Lytechinus pictus: one gene and its partner. The protein of the gene in region 2 purifies or fractionates together with the protein of the main gene of each other region. This does not show direct contact. Links are inferred from orthologs where the notes say so. Each region holds a gene or a part of one and is shown on either strand. Other genes may lie near its edges.

What was found.
Region 1: the proteins of BMP-2-inducible protein kinase-like (region 2) and ralBP1-associated Eps domain-containing protein 2-like purify together in Homo sapiens (affinity purification with mass spectrometry; 3 studies listed by BioGRID and IntAct, counting the BioPlex papers as one, with this or other methods). This does not show direct contact. The link is inferred for Lytechinus pictus from reciprocal best matches to the Homo sapiens genes BMP2K and REPS1.

The regions. Positions count from the first base shown.
Region 1 is NC_087248.1:18,756,329-18,763,636, forward strand, and holds the start of ralBP1-associated Eps domain-containing protein 2-like, read right to left. Parts: upstream 3,242-7,308; 5' UTR 3,024-3,241; coding exon 2,871-3,023; intron 1,051-2,870; coding exon 921-1,050; intron 1-920. Other genes in the region: uncharacterized protein LOC129258351, read left to right, coding at 7,083-7,208. UniProt on the Homo sapiens protein: May coordinate the cellular actions of activated EGF receptors and Ral-GTPases.
Region 2 is NC_087262.1:11,854,149-11,861,723, reverse strand, and holds the start of BMP-2-inducible protein kinase-like, read right to left. Parts: upstream 3,201-7,575; 5' UTR 2,590-3,200; coding exon 2,533-2,589; intron 1,017-2,532; coding exon 911-1,016; intron 1-910. UniProt on the Homo sapiens protein: May be involved in osteoblast differentiation.

The DNA of each region.
Region 1 (7,308 bases), on a different chromosome or scaffold from region 2:
GCCAATGAGAAATGGAATGTACATAATTATATGTACATGCATGTACCCAAAAATAGACAAGGAGTGGTAAGTCAGGACTTGGGTATTTTAAATTCAACCCATTGACCCATATCCTGTACTCTGGTTTAATTCAATCTCTGGTCTAAAGTTGTGGTTTGCAGCACTTGGCGGATCCGCCACTGTTCTGCTTGCATGACTCGTAAACAGGGAAGGGGCGTTGGAGTTTGATATCGCACTCCTTTTTTTAATTATTTCTAGGTAGCCCGAGGTGAGGGTTTAAACCCTAACCACCCCCCACCCCCCGCCCAAGATCCATCAATGGTTTGACAATGGAGAGCCAGATATTACACAAATCTTTTTAACATACATGTAATTGCAAGCTCAATCTCTCAGCTTACTTTAGACTCAAATCATTTATACATCAATATCTGGGAATAACAACAAAAATTGTTTTGTTCATCAACAAAGCAGGAAGAAACAACTGAGTAAACAAGGAAACCTGATTTAAATAAAATTTTAATATTTTTCAGCTTTCCATGACTTAAGCACAGAGTTAGACCATGGCCTTTTAAAGTTAAACTGGACTTGAGAATACAGACCCTACATGTACACTTCTGAATTCAATAATTCCCATTTTAGTACCTGTAGGGACCATCCGGTTCCAAAAGGCAACAACAACAGTGACACAACACTTGCTCCTGCAACAATTGCTCTGGGCTTTATTTCGTCTAAGATGTAGGGTTATGGTTATATTTAGGGTTGCAATAGGGTTTTATGTTAGAATAGGGTTAGGTTTAGAATAGGGTATAGTGTTCAATCCAAGGTTGAAGTTGGTCATTCCATCTGTGTGTCAAATTCAAAGCGGAGCAATCATCGCCAGAGCAAATGTCTTGGAACCACAATAACAGTGAATAACTCACCTTGCATGACAAAATCCACAGAATTAGGGAGAGGAAGACCATTCTGCACCATTGCAATCATCTTGAGTGCGCAATAAAACTGACTCCTGCCGTAGTAACCTAACCTTCCTGCTCCACACAGCTCATTAATCTGTATTGAAATACATACAATTTAAGACAATAAATCCATGATTTACATGGTTTAAACAATCACATAATACATTGGGTGTACTCCGATAGCCATGGTTTATTAACCCTCATTCATTAAAGAAAATAATTATGTTAATCCTCCAGCAAAAAAGGTGTTGAAATTAGTATTGTTGTATTAAGAGAAAACATTTTTTTTTTTAAATCAATGACTTTATATGTTACACATATCATCTTTACCAGACATATGGAATCTCCCATGAGAGTGAAGACTAAAATTACATGTATTGTGCAGACTAGGGTTAAACCTAGGATTAATTATCAGAATAGGCCTACTATATACTATCCAATTGGTTCCTAGATTTTCCCCATTTTGCTTGCATGATGACTTGAAAATTTTGAAGATATTATGTGCTTGCCCGCCTTGCCGTTGGCTTCAGAGGTAGTGTTTTATTTGTAATTTGTATACAGTTATTGTTTGCAAAACTTCATGCAAGAATGGAGACAATCAGTCAGGTGCTAAACAAGAAAGTCACCAGCTAATGATGATATCCAATCTCTCGTACATGATGGAGGGACCAAAAGCTACATTCTTTGTTTACAAAACATAAAACTATGGCAATATTAGTATTTGAACAGATTTTTAAACTCTAATTTGTGGTAAATATTTTAAAGATTCTAAATATGAAAATCCAGTTGTGTTTTCCTAAACACCTGATTTTACTGTTGGCATTGGAAGGGGTGCAGGAAATTGCATTTCCTGCGCTTCAAACACGGCCATATTGTTGAAAGAAAATAAAAAAATTCAAGAGAGCTCTGCAAAACTGGAAATAGTTGCATGATTTTATGCATTTTTGTGATTTATTTATTGGTGCCACTGTACTGTAGTAAGTCTGAATGGGAATTCTTTGTCACAATGCAGTCACAGTTCCATAAATTGCAAGTGCACATTTATCCATTAAAATTGATGTGCAAATGAGTGGTGCATCCATGTAGCTTTATCCTTGATAATTTATATTCCTACAGATAACAAGCATGAGAATGGAAAAATTCAATATCTTGAAATGCAAAAGTCCCATTGCGTTTAACCAAGACTTTGAGGTATCTTATTTAGCATTAAACAGGGACAAGCAAAACTTTCATCTGGGTTTAATTTCTCTTTTCTTGAAATCAAAAATTTCCACAAATTAGCTTTTGAAATTTGTTTTGTTTTGAAATAAATAAACCTTTTTATTCTTTGTTTCTCCTCAGTTATACAGACTAACAATAGAGCTTTAACTGCAACTGGTGGCAGCCAAATTAGTTTGCTAAAAAAAGGGGTTAAAAAATTGGCATTTTGCCATTTAAGATTCGACTAGCTACAAAAGTCCAAATTAATTTAAACTGCTTCATGAAGAATATGTTGAAGTAATTAAACATTGAGAATATAACTGAAAAAAGAACCACTAGAAATGATTTCATACATACATTACAGTCACATCACATCCACTCACACTAATTGCGAGGTTAGTATTAGTATACTAATACTTACTAACACATTAGTATACTCATCACATCACATGATTCATACTACTAGTGTGATGATTCAAAATGATCTCCACATTTTCTGGCTTCGTTCAGACGTCAGTCACGTCGTCATGTTCATCATCACTTTCAAGTTTCAGTTTTCAAGACATGACATTGATCATGTTCAATCGGTTTGATTTAGTAACATGGTTATCAATTTTGAAAATAATATGCATCGAAATATATTAATTTAACATTAACAAACAGTCAAAACTAGACAAACTTAAAGGTAAATGACTAATCCGAGTTCCGACATACCCTCTGAATTACGTCGTCCGAGAGCTGCGGGCTCAACCTGAATAAACTCATCGCTCGCTGGGCCGCCACTCGCCCGGAGCTTTCCTTGTCGGATTTGCTGAAGAGCTCGGGGTAATATTGCTGCTCTGCGGGACTCAAGAAAGAACCCTCCATGGCTGATATTAAGATTCGAAATCAGGGCCTAAAGAATTTGGAAACAAGAGAGAGGCTGAAAATCTGTAAAACCTTATGTAAATATCACGAAAACCTAGAAATTGATGGGTAATCACACCCTCCTTTTCGTTCCTTTCGCATCACTGATGGCAGCCATATTGTCGGTGACGTCAGAACAAGTCCCGGATGAGTCACAAAGATGTTAATTCAGTCTGGCTATCTTCCTTTCGAACTTTGAATCTCAGTTGATATGAAGTTTTGGTCTTTTTAAGTAAATAACAACAAAATCTTACAAATGGGGAGGATACTCAAAAATGTGTTTATCAAAGCGAACAAATTATAATTACTAGTCGATCAGAAGGGTGTATAAGGACAACTGGGTCCATTGTAATTTGAAAATCATGAAAATATCGCTTGGTGTACTAGCTAGGCGGGGTGTGGGCCTATCTGTCAAAGCATAATAAACATTTTCAATCATAAGTGATGACAATGTTGCTGCTTTAACTTCAAACAGAATAGGACTATATATCTACATGATACAGGGTATAAGTATAATCATTTACCTTTATTAATATCAATAGATGCCCCCCCCCCCCCGAGTAGTTTTTAAAGTGGTAATAAAATTATTCAAGCTAATTGATTTGACTAATGCCTTTCCAATCTAGGATTCGCATGCAGTGGATCAAAATGAGTTAAAACAGGGAGAATGAAAGAGATATTATGACGATGCCTTGTTTTATGGAAAAAATGATTATCCATGATCATGATGATGGCTGTGGTCACAAATACAACTTGCAAAAAAATAATGGTAATAAAATCATGGTGGTAACGATAATATCTTTACACCATTATTTTATGGTGATGAAGATGATTGTGATGACGATGATGATCATGATCATCATCATGATAATGATTTTTTTTGTCCTTATCTGAGAGGTATTTATTACATTGAAATGAATAAACAAACACAAACAATATATACAATTAGTTTCACTTTTCACAAGCTTTTGATTTCATTGTACTGTTTTTCTGTTATTTTTATCTTGTTACTCTTTTCAAGAAATCTCAAATTAATGACTAATTCTCTCTTAAAATCTGACAACATAGAAAAATAACTGAATTTTTTTAAAGTGAACTGAGCCAACACATAGACTCTATAAATCGTGTATTGTGCGAAAACCAAAATTACGTTCAGAAAAGCCATGTTTTCATTTTCAACATCGTGGCCAATCAATAATGTTTTCTATGAATATTCACATTAGACTGGATCTTAATGAAATACCGTAGTTTCTGCCAAAATAAATTCACATGTGGACAATGCAACAAAATATGATCTAGAGTTTCAATTTGTTTACAATGGTTATACAAGTCATGTCTGATGTGATATTCCATCGAACTAAATTCTCTTTACGATACGGCAAAATCCGATGCAGCAATTTGAAATTATATTGTTTAACTCTGTTATCAAGTAATTTTCCAAACTTAAATTTCAGCAATTTGCTCCAATCATAATCTTCTGCAAGTGAAAGCCTATCTTGCCAAAAATATAACACCATTGGGTGTAAATTCTTTTTTTAATCTACAAAATATGTGTAGAATTGTTTTTGATATTGTAATGTCAATTGAGTTACCGGTTTTAATTTGAATAAATTTATCGTTTTGTATTCGTTGATCACCGTGATTTTCAAGCTGAGCAGTGTTCAACTAATTGAACCAATATGTTGGAAAATTGGTTTTAATTTTAGCATATTGAAATAAGATACAAAGAGAATTCATCGACAGTAGGTCTGTAATACTTTCGGAGTTTTTCCATGATCCATTTTCAATTAAATGGCGTACTTTTACTAAACCCTTATCGGACCATTTTCTGAAATACAATAACCTGTTTTCATGTTTTTAATTATTCCATATGATTTCATTTTCAAGTGAAGTTCAGCCAATAAAGTAAGTAAGTCTGTATAAAATGTAGCCGGGTAATGAATATTTTATTTGCATAATTTAATCATGTCTATACTGGAGAGCAGAATGGATAATGGTATACCGCCTAATTTATGTAACCAAAACTCACAAATATATTTCCATGGTGGTTCATCCCCTCTTACAATTTTTGGTAACCAGGAAAGTGTGAGTGATTTCAATCTAGAATTTATGTCAATCATACCTAATGATGGTTATGATGATGGTATTGATGATAATGATGATGATGATGATGATAATGGTGATGATGATGATGATGATGGTGATGACGATGATGAAGATGGTGATGATGCTGATGATGATGATGCAGTTGATGATGATGCAGATGATGATGATGATGATGGTGATGATGATAATGATGAAAATGATGACGACAATGGTGATGACTGGTGATGATGGTGATATTAGAAACAAAATCAGTGAATTAATGGAATGGATCGGCTTTATATTATAACATTGATGTACCCCACATTGTCACAAAATTATATTTCTTTTTTTTTTGTAAAAGATCTAATTTTTGCCGCTCTCTTACTCCATATGATATATTTTTTGATTCACTGATTACACCAGTGCGGGCAGATCCTATCCGTACACCGTTTGAAGAATGACGTCGCCCTCTCATGGTAAGAAATTTGCTATCATCATGATTACTAAAATAATCTGTCATCGTGAACTCTGAGCTCCAGCTACGGGGGTGGTGGTAATAACATGTCAGGTGCTTCATTTTGCGATCAAGTGGTAATAACGACCCCTCGCTGTCATGTGACCAATGTATACACGTGACAAACAATAAAAGTGGGCGTGTCATAGTGGGATGCGACGAGCAATTTGCTTTGACATTGTTTTGAGAAAATCAACAAACAAATGTTATTTTCATGAAAAAGTCTATGTACACAGATGAAAGTTCCCGAACCATAGTTTTGTTGCACTCTCGGTGCTTTCTCCTCCCCCTCGATCATTTTTTCTTGTTTCTCCATCTCCTGCTCCTGATCTACTCCCCCTCCTCCTCCTCCTCCTTCTTCTTATAATTATTATTCTTCGTCATCTTCTTCATTATCTTCTTCTTCTCTTCCTCCTCCTTCTTCTTCTTAATTATTCTTCTTCTTAATTCTTCTTCTTCTTCTCCTCCTCCTCCCCCCTCTTTCAGTCATTCTTCCATTTTTTCTTTTCACCTCTAACCAGTGGCGTACCTAGGATTTTTCACAGGGGGGGCAAAACCGTCCGCCAAAGAATTTGACAAGCAAAAAAAAAAAAAAAAAAAAAAAAAAAAAAAAAAAAAAAAAAAAGGTATTTCAAGCTCGTCAGGGGGGGGGGGGGGGGGCAGGGATACGTCCTTTGCATGGGTTGTGGCTCGTCAGGGGGGGCAGACTGCCCCCTCTGCCCCCCCCCCCCCCCCCGTAGGTACGCTAGTGCCTCTAACCTTTATTTCCTTTCATTTTGTAAATATATATACTGTAACTTTGTCTCCGACACTGTATCAATATTCTTTCGCTCTAAATATTTCCCCAACCTCTCCCTATTTCACATATACTTTATCAAACAATTTCTATGAAGCAAAAATCTTTATAGTTTCTGAATCAACAACGGATGTAAACAAAGCATTATCGTTCATTCGTTCAGTCAAATTCCACCATCAATAGAAAAAATACAGCGATTATTAGAACTTTGGAATATTTACTTTGTTCTGTGCGGCATTATTTAACAGTAAGTGTTCAGCACGCATATCAGAGGCCCCTACTAGAGAATCTCTTGAAAATTTATAGAGCTATGCACGTCACGTGCAGTCTGTTTTACATGTAGGAACTGACAATACAATCAACAGATCAATGTATGTTTTGTTGCGTGATATACCGGTTTAATCTCTCATTAATCCAAATTAGCCTTGATTTCGACTTCTAATCTGGATAGCTTCGTCAACACCACGCGGGACAGATTTGCCAAGAAAATTGACATTGTGTGTTTTGGCATAATACTCGGCGGAATATAGTGGCACTACGATCTGTACTCTACCTTTTAGCAGGTTATAAGTTTAAAACTTCTTCTGGAACGAACTCCCTGACGGAAATAATTTGATGAAATAAAATGGATACCATGTCGCGGAGACTGTGCCATGTTTTAGCGATTGCCTTGACGGTGCTAGTAACTGATTCAGACGGTCATCTCTGCATTATAACTCCTCGACAAAGAGGAGATCTCGATATATCGACTGTAAGTTATACACTATAAAAACAAATCAGCCATCATTCGTCAGATCAAACGGGCCGCAACTGTTTTCTCTACACGGGCCGCGGAAACGGGGGGGGGGGGA
Region 2 (7,575 bases):
ACTGACCTAATTCTGAAAAAATATAATTTTTCTAGGTGGGCAATTCCACAAAATAGTCAACCTTTTGTACGTCCAACCCCCATTTTCTCAAGTTTTATTTCACTTCATAAACCGACCAAGTCATGGTCATTTGAGAGCATTACAAACTGTCAAAAGAACAAGAAATCAGAGACAGAAAAATTCTTTAAAGTCCCACATATAGGGAGTCGGACGTACATATTTTATGGAATTGCCAAGGTACAGTTTTGTTACCCTTGTAAATTATAGGTCAAAGTTTCAGTTTTTCCAAAGTAATTTCAATACAAATTAGGTCAATTAAAATATTTATTTAAATTGTTGAAATAGTGCACCACATGGATGGATCTAGCTTTTCATAAATGGCAGGGGCGTGAATATAGTCGATTAACTTCAGAAATTTCTGACAAGTTGCTACACGCCCCCCTAAAAAATTATACGAAAGTAATGATAAAAAGTAATAGGCCTCATCAGTGGCAGACCGTGACCCGGAGGAGACAAAGCATTGGAGGGGCACAGCATTGTTCACAAACAATACAGTGCCCCTCCAATCATTGTCTCCTCCGGGTCACGGTCCGCAACTGGGCCTCATTATAAGGAAAAGTAATGATAAAAATGAATATGAAAAAATACTAAACGATATGAAATATACATGCAAAATAAAACATGGAATACACAACCTTCCAAAAGGATGCAATTTGTCAACCCGCAAAAACAAATGTAAAAAAGGAGGGCCATACTCGCATAGAAAAGAGTCACTCTTGACTATGTACAATTGAATTTGTTAAAACAATAAACCACTCTTTTTTTATGATTAAAACCAACCTGTCAGAGTGGACTTCCCCCTTTAATCTCCCACAGCAGGTAAGGTAATAGCAAAAAAAAATTGGCTTACCTCTACAATACTCCATCAAAATGAGGACTTCATAGACTCCACTGTTGCTGCGTGTGATGCTGGAATCGACATAGGGCACAATGTTCTTGTGACCCGACAGTGTAGACTAGATCAAGAAATAGAGAGAGAGAGCCGGAGAGAAAAATAGAGATGGAAAGAGAAAGACACCAGGAGATATATAAACATACATATCCAGAGAAAAAGCGTGAGAGTGACAGAAAGATATAGAGAGACAGGGAAAGATATAGAGAGACAGGGAAACATATAGAGAGACAAAGAAAGATATAGAGAGACAGAGAAAGATATATAGAGACAGAGAAAGATGTAGAGAGACAGGGAAAGATAGAGAGAGACAGAGACAGAGAGAAGGGTGGGGAGGGAAGAAAAACAGTTCAGGTTTCATGAAAAGACATTTCCCAAGATACCCAGGCTCAAGCTGTCCTGTTTGCCTGGAAGCACATACTAACAGATTTGCGAAACATTAATAGGCAACCCATTCACACTACAAGAAATTGAGGAGAAATTTATAAAGACCGAGTTTTGATGTACAATGTATGACTTTATCGAGCAAAGATATACATGTATCTGACGAAAATCAAGTGTGATTCTATTCAAACCCCCCCCCCCCCCCCGTTACTTCTTTCATGATGGCAGGTTTGTGGATTTTTTTTCTATTGATCCAAGAGTTTTTGCTCAGCATACAGTATAATAAAACATTCAGAGTAAAAGCAGTTTTGTTACGATAGCTTCTCCCTGAAATAAACATGTGGGTATAATAATAATTTCTTCATGTAATGATCAAGACTTGGAAATCTTTCAAACAGAAAAAAAGCAGTACAATTGAGGCCAAGAGTTTCATACACCCAGGAAATTCGAAGAAAAGTTGACACTTGCCAAACATCATAAAATTTATTGTATCTTACATGTATAAAATATTTGTGCTATCATGACGAATTTCACTGAATTCCATGGGTACATGTAAACTTTTGTCCTCAACTGTACATAACAAAATATTGTTAAAGTTTTCATAAGTTTACAAGAAAATTTTGAAGGAAAAAAAAAAATTATACCACGCTACACACAGTGTACAGGTAATCTCTGTGGGGGAGACTTTTTAAAAAGCCATGTTTGAAGAGTGTGGAACAGAGGATCTCTCATACGAAATGTGTGTGTAGTATTGCAAGATTTATATTTCATTTCATTCTGAAAAGATTTCATCAAAAATTTATTCAAATAAAAATCAAAATTTATACCACCTTCATTTTTTTGGGCTCAATGTACTGTCTGATTGCATATACATGTGCCTTTCAACTGCGCAGAATACTAGGGGGCAAAACTGTGTTTTGTGGTAAAATTGATTGTTCTATCATAATCGAATTAGTGCAACATGGCCCCAAGAATATGCACTTTTATGGTAATGGATTTTACTCGAGAGAGAGAGAGCAAAGGAAGAGAGAAATAATTTTTTTTTAAAGACCCGACAGTAAAGGCGTTTTCATTGAATTACATACATGTACATGTATGATATTGTTTTCACATCTTGAAGATGAGGAATCAACCATACTTTATGTATTATTGGCAGAAAAAAATGGAAGAAGAGAGGCCAACTTCTCCTTTCTTACCATGATCTTGATCTCTCTCTTGCAGACGACCAAATCCTGCTCGTTGTTGACAAACATCCTCTTGAGGGCGTAGTGTACTCCATTGCGACCTTTGACCAGGAAGACCAGGGCAAACCCACCTGCAGAATCAATGAAAAAGGGATAAAACCCTTTAATACTTAATGAGTAACAAGAAAACTGAAAACGACATCGCTATTAAAAGAAAGGGAAACTTTGTACTCATTTTTGTAAATGGAGATATGAATTTTTTAGAAATTAAAAATCCTATTGAAACAAAAAAACAAATCTTATTTGGGGCAATTACATGTACACACTATCAAAAGTATATGACTCATACTTCAAATAATCTGACTTTTGCTTTAATTTTGCTAATTTGAAAGAAAAAAAAAATCTTTTAAATCTATTAAAATCTTACTGGTTGGCTGACCTGGGCCCCGTCTTACAAAGAGTTGCGATCGATCCGATCAAACACAACTATGGACAGCCAGCAACGTCAACATCTAAAATTGCATGTTTGTTCAAAATATTTTCTAGAAATGATGTACATTCATACATTCACTGTTTTCTTGACAATTCAGTATGCTAGTTGTTTTCAAAAGACATTGAGTAAATTTCCTAAAGAAAAATTATGACATTGATGAATTTCCATATACTTGGGATTGATCGGATCAATCGTAACTCTTTGTAAGACGGGGCCAGTGCTCTGTACACACAAAACCAAACATGATCCGTACAAATGGTGGTACTAATATAATTTTTACCTGATGGCTATAAAAAGAAAACATGAATGCTTGCATACATGTAGCTACATGCAGCAATCAGAGAACCAAAGGCTTTTGTCCTGTCCGAGGGACCTGGTAATGATGGTAGCAGGGGGGGGGGGGGTACTTGAATAATAATTTGTTTGGATGTGCCTCACAAAACCTCAAAATGCAGTCTTAGAAAATGTAGGTATTGGGAACTATAATCTATTACTCAGAGAAAAACAGTGTCTAGGGAACTTCATATTCGTGTGCAGACTTCCAGGAAGACAGTATGATTCACAATGCATCTGTTATTTTCGGCGGCTTCTGTTTACAACTTACTGTATAAATCTACAATATTCACTTACATGTAGCTCATTGTAATGAATGGGGATTTTCCAGCGCTCTTTTTAATTGATTCGAGAGCTCTTTTTATTAGTTTCCAGGGCTTTTTTTATTATGTTAGGAGCTATATCGCTCTGATTTTCCCTGCAGTCTGTCTTTAGATGTTTCTGATGAAGGGCAAATAGAAGAAAGCTAAAATGCTTTTCCTGCGCTATCCTTTTGTTTCATCTCCGTCATATGAATTAATTTTGTGTTTTCTCTGAGCTTGGAAGCAGGCATTGTGTCACGTGAGTAAAGCATTCATACTGGCCTGGATAATGTGTGCATCAATACTGAACTACTGTACATTGTAAATGCATACTGTTTTTGATGTCCCAGGTATACAAACAATACATTGTACATTCCTTTTGTTTTGCCTCTGACTCTCTGTAACAAAAACATATTGTTTCACAGTTTGCAGGGGACGTTTACTACAGAAGTGGGATGCAGGCACTACAGTATATACCATGTACATGAATGTATGACCCCACCCCCACTTCAAGTTTGGCCTGTCTACTGTGCATTCCATGTTCTTTACTGCGCCACATTGTAAGCTGTCCCAGTCTAATAACAATACATTGTACATTACATTGCCAGGGTGGTGACTCATAACCGTATGCCACACACACAGGGTGTTTTCCTGAACCAGATATCTTCACTAACTGTATTATAAAAAAGATGACCTTCAGACATTGATCAGTTTGTCCATGTGATCTTGCAATATATTTGTAGATAGTGTGGAGATATTGGAGGATTTACATGTATATTATGCAACCAGCTTGCAATATTGCCCACGTAAGCCTAATTCAAAGACCTAAATTTATATTGCATCTATTGTAGACATGAAAGCCTACATCATACAGGGTACATACATGTACATCATGTAGTAATGTTTGCAGGGCTTGAATTATATAAGCCTAAAAAAATTGAAAGCTATCGATGGCTGTGGCCGCGGATACCCACTGACTGTCCTTGGAGATTTCTTGTGCCTTATTTTATTCCCCAACAATTGAATTTTCATTATTGAAATTTGCCTCGTGGTATTGTGGTAATGCCCTAAAAATATTGAAATCCCGTTTGTGAACATTACTATTCAGAAAACTTGATTTCCTAATTTCTTTCAAAACAATTTGGTAAACTAATAATGATTATGATACATGTAATAGAACAATGAATGCAATTGCACTACATGTACAAATATGTATGTCTCCAATAAAGTAACTTCTGAAAGTAAACAGAGCCTCAAAGCTTATTGAATATGTGCCGTTTCCAATGTTAATCCTTTTAAAAAGACTGAAGAAAATCTTTTAAGTGCCACTCTTCATGCTACTGTAAATGTGGTATGCATCTGTTGCCCTGAGCAGTAAGGTGCAATATTTTTACTATTCAATGCCTTGGTCAGTGAATAGCAAATTTGGTTAGAATATTCTGACATTGATCTTGTCCAGTGCACAATTATGCAGACAGATGTCTCCCCCTTGGCCACAAGTAAAGTATCTAGGATGCAAATCCTACATGAAAGCCATCAATACAGAAGAAAGGTTCTGTGGAAAGCGATTCAGTACACACATGCATCTTCAGTAATCCATTTTTTTCTGGATTTAGATTTACAGATAAAGAACAGAGTTCAGACAATTTTAGAGCTCACACACGTAGTACAATTGAATTAATAAACAATAGGCTACTTGTATCACTATGATTTTGAATCTATCCTAAGGCTCAGGATTTTCCTAAACATATTTGAGAATTATGTCTTTGTTCTAAATCTATTGGAAACAACCATGTGCCTGCCTATAATATATCTTGGCATTTTTATAAAATTGTTGGATAAATTTGAAAAAATATGTATTAAAAAAAATGTTTTATTTCAAAACATACATGTATATCTGGATTGGTGCTTTAGATTCATCCCCCCCCCCCAAAAAAAAAAAAAAAAAAAAAAAAATTGAGTGCATCTTTGTTTGGTCATTTCATGGAGATGATACTGTAAATTGCATTTTTAGACAATATATTATATGGTCATGGTGTTTTCTATTAAAAAAGTGCAACTTTAAAAAAGAATAAAGTGCTCTGTAGCTACATATCCACTGCTTTAAAGAGAACACCTGGAAAGGCTTTAAGGCACAACAAACCAGCTTGCCGGAGGCAAGTGAATGTGATGGGGGGACATTCTTTTTTTTCATTAAAATCTCAGATATGAGTTGTACATTTACATGTACCTCTGCTAAAAATAAGAAAATTCAGGTGTAGAGTGGTCCTTCCAAACAAGCATTAAACAAAAACAGAAGAAACAAACATGGATTTGTAGAGGCAAGGGCTTTAATTTGTTAAGTATCAAGTACTCAAACTTAATTGACACTATATGTTCGCTAAAAATTACCAAGAATGTATACAGTTTTAATTTGTCAGTATGTCAATACAGTTTGTAGCCTCCATGCATACGTACAATCATGAAAGTTCATCATCACTGTAGAAAATTTACCTCCTTATTTTAGACTATCCACTGCTGCCAGAATTTTAAAGGTACCTTATCTAATTTGTTGAGAAATTCACATGCAGATTATTTCTCGACACATTTTGTAGCCTGTCTGAGAACACATAAAACAGTACATTGACCTCATAAAATTTGCATTCATGAATCATTCAAAATTCGTGCACAAATAAACATGGTATACCATTAATCTTTGAATATACAGATTACGTTAAGGGTGCTTGTCATCATCTGTTTTGTGGGCCAATTAATCCTTTCAATCGCCTTGATTTTTCAAGTAAGAAGCTTGCAGGCTTCTGCCTGGAACAATTAAACTTCTCTTGCCAAATGTTCCATTCTTCTACGTATTGTCAAAGTCAGGTGCTACTGATCTGTATCATTTTTCTTCTTGTTTTATTCATCATGTATTAAAAAGTGCTTGAAGAATGGCTGTACATGTATAAATAGATTTTGTGTTTTAGTATATTTATAATGTTATGGTACGAGCATGCACATTCAGTGGCGTAGACAATTTCGTACACCTGGGGGGGATGACTGGGCTGCCAACGCTAGTGAGGGCGCGAAGCGCCCGAGCGAGGGAGCGAAGTGACCGAGCGGGGGGAGGGTGTGGGAGGGGGGTGTCGCCCCTCCCACGGTAGGGAGCTTTTGCAATTTTGAACTTGAAATCGTGCAATCTGATGCATACTTAATGAGGTAAAATAACACACACAAGCGCGCACGCACACACACACATACTCACACACACACACACCCTTACACACACACACACCCTCACACACACGGGTGCGCGCACCACACACATACTACGCCTTGAATGGACAGACATACATCGACAAGATCTACACACCGTGGCATACGAATACAGAATGGACTGACACATAGTATTGCATATTGAACCGCACTACGTATTTATTTATCTCTGTGAATTTTGCTGTTACACCTCTTCAGAAAAAAAACCAATGTCAACTGTGTACACGCAGGTATAGTCTTTGTTGTCTTGATATGGGTATGTGGTTATGAATGAAAATGCTCCATCACCCTCAACGGCACTTTCTTCTGAACAGGCCTATCTCCGACATCATCCGATTTTGATGTAGACGGCTGTTCGTCATCACGTTCTTCTTTCTCATTATGCTTGAAAAAAGAAGTGATCTTTGATGTTTTCAACTTCTTTATATGAGCCATCCTAGAATCCTAAAATCAATTCACGCTGTGAATTATGTAAGTGACACACTCACATGCATTTCCCCCTTAAAAAGTTAAGGACTCACCACGTGTTTTTGTTTTCTAGCTAACAGCGCGTCCCTTCTCTCCCCGCACGTAATGCGCACATAACACGGCGTACGCTCGTAATCCGCATCCCTGATTTTCAATAGCTTCTTTCACACGTTAAAAGCCAATCTTGTGGTTATCTTGTGGTTATCT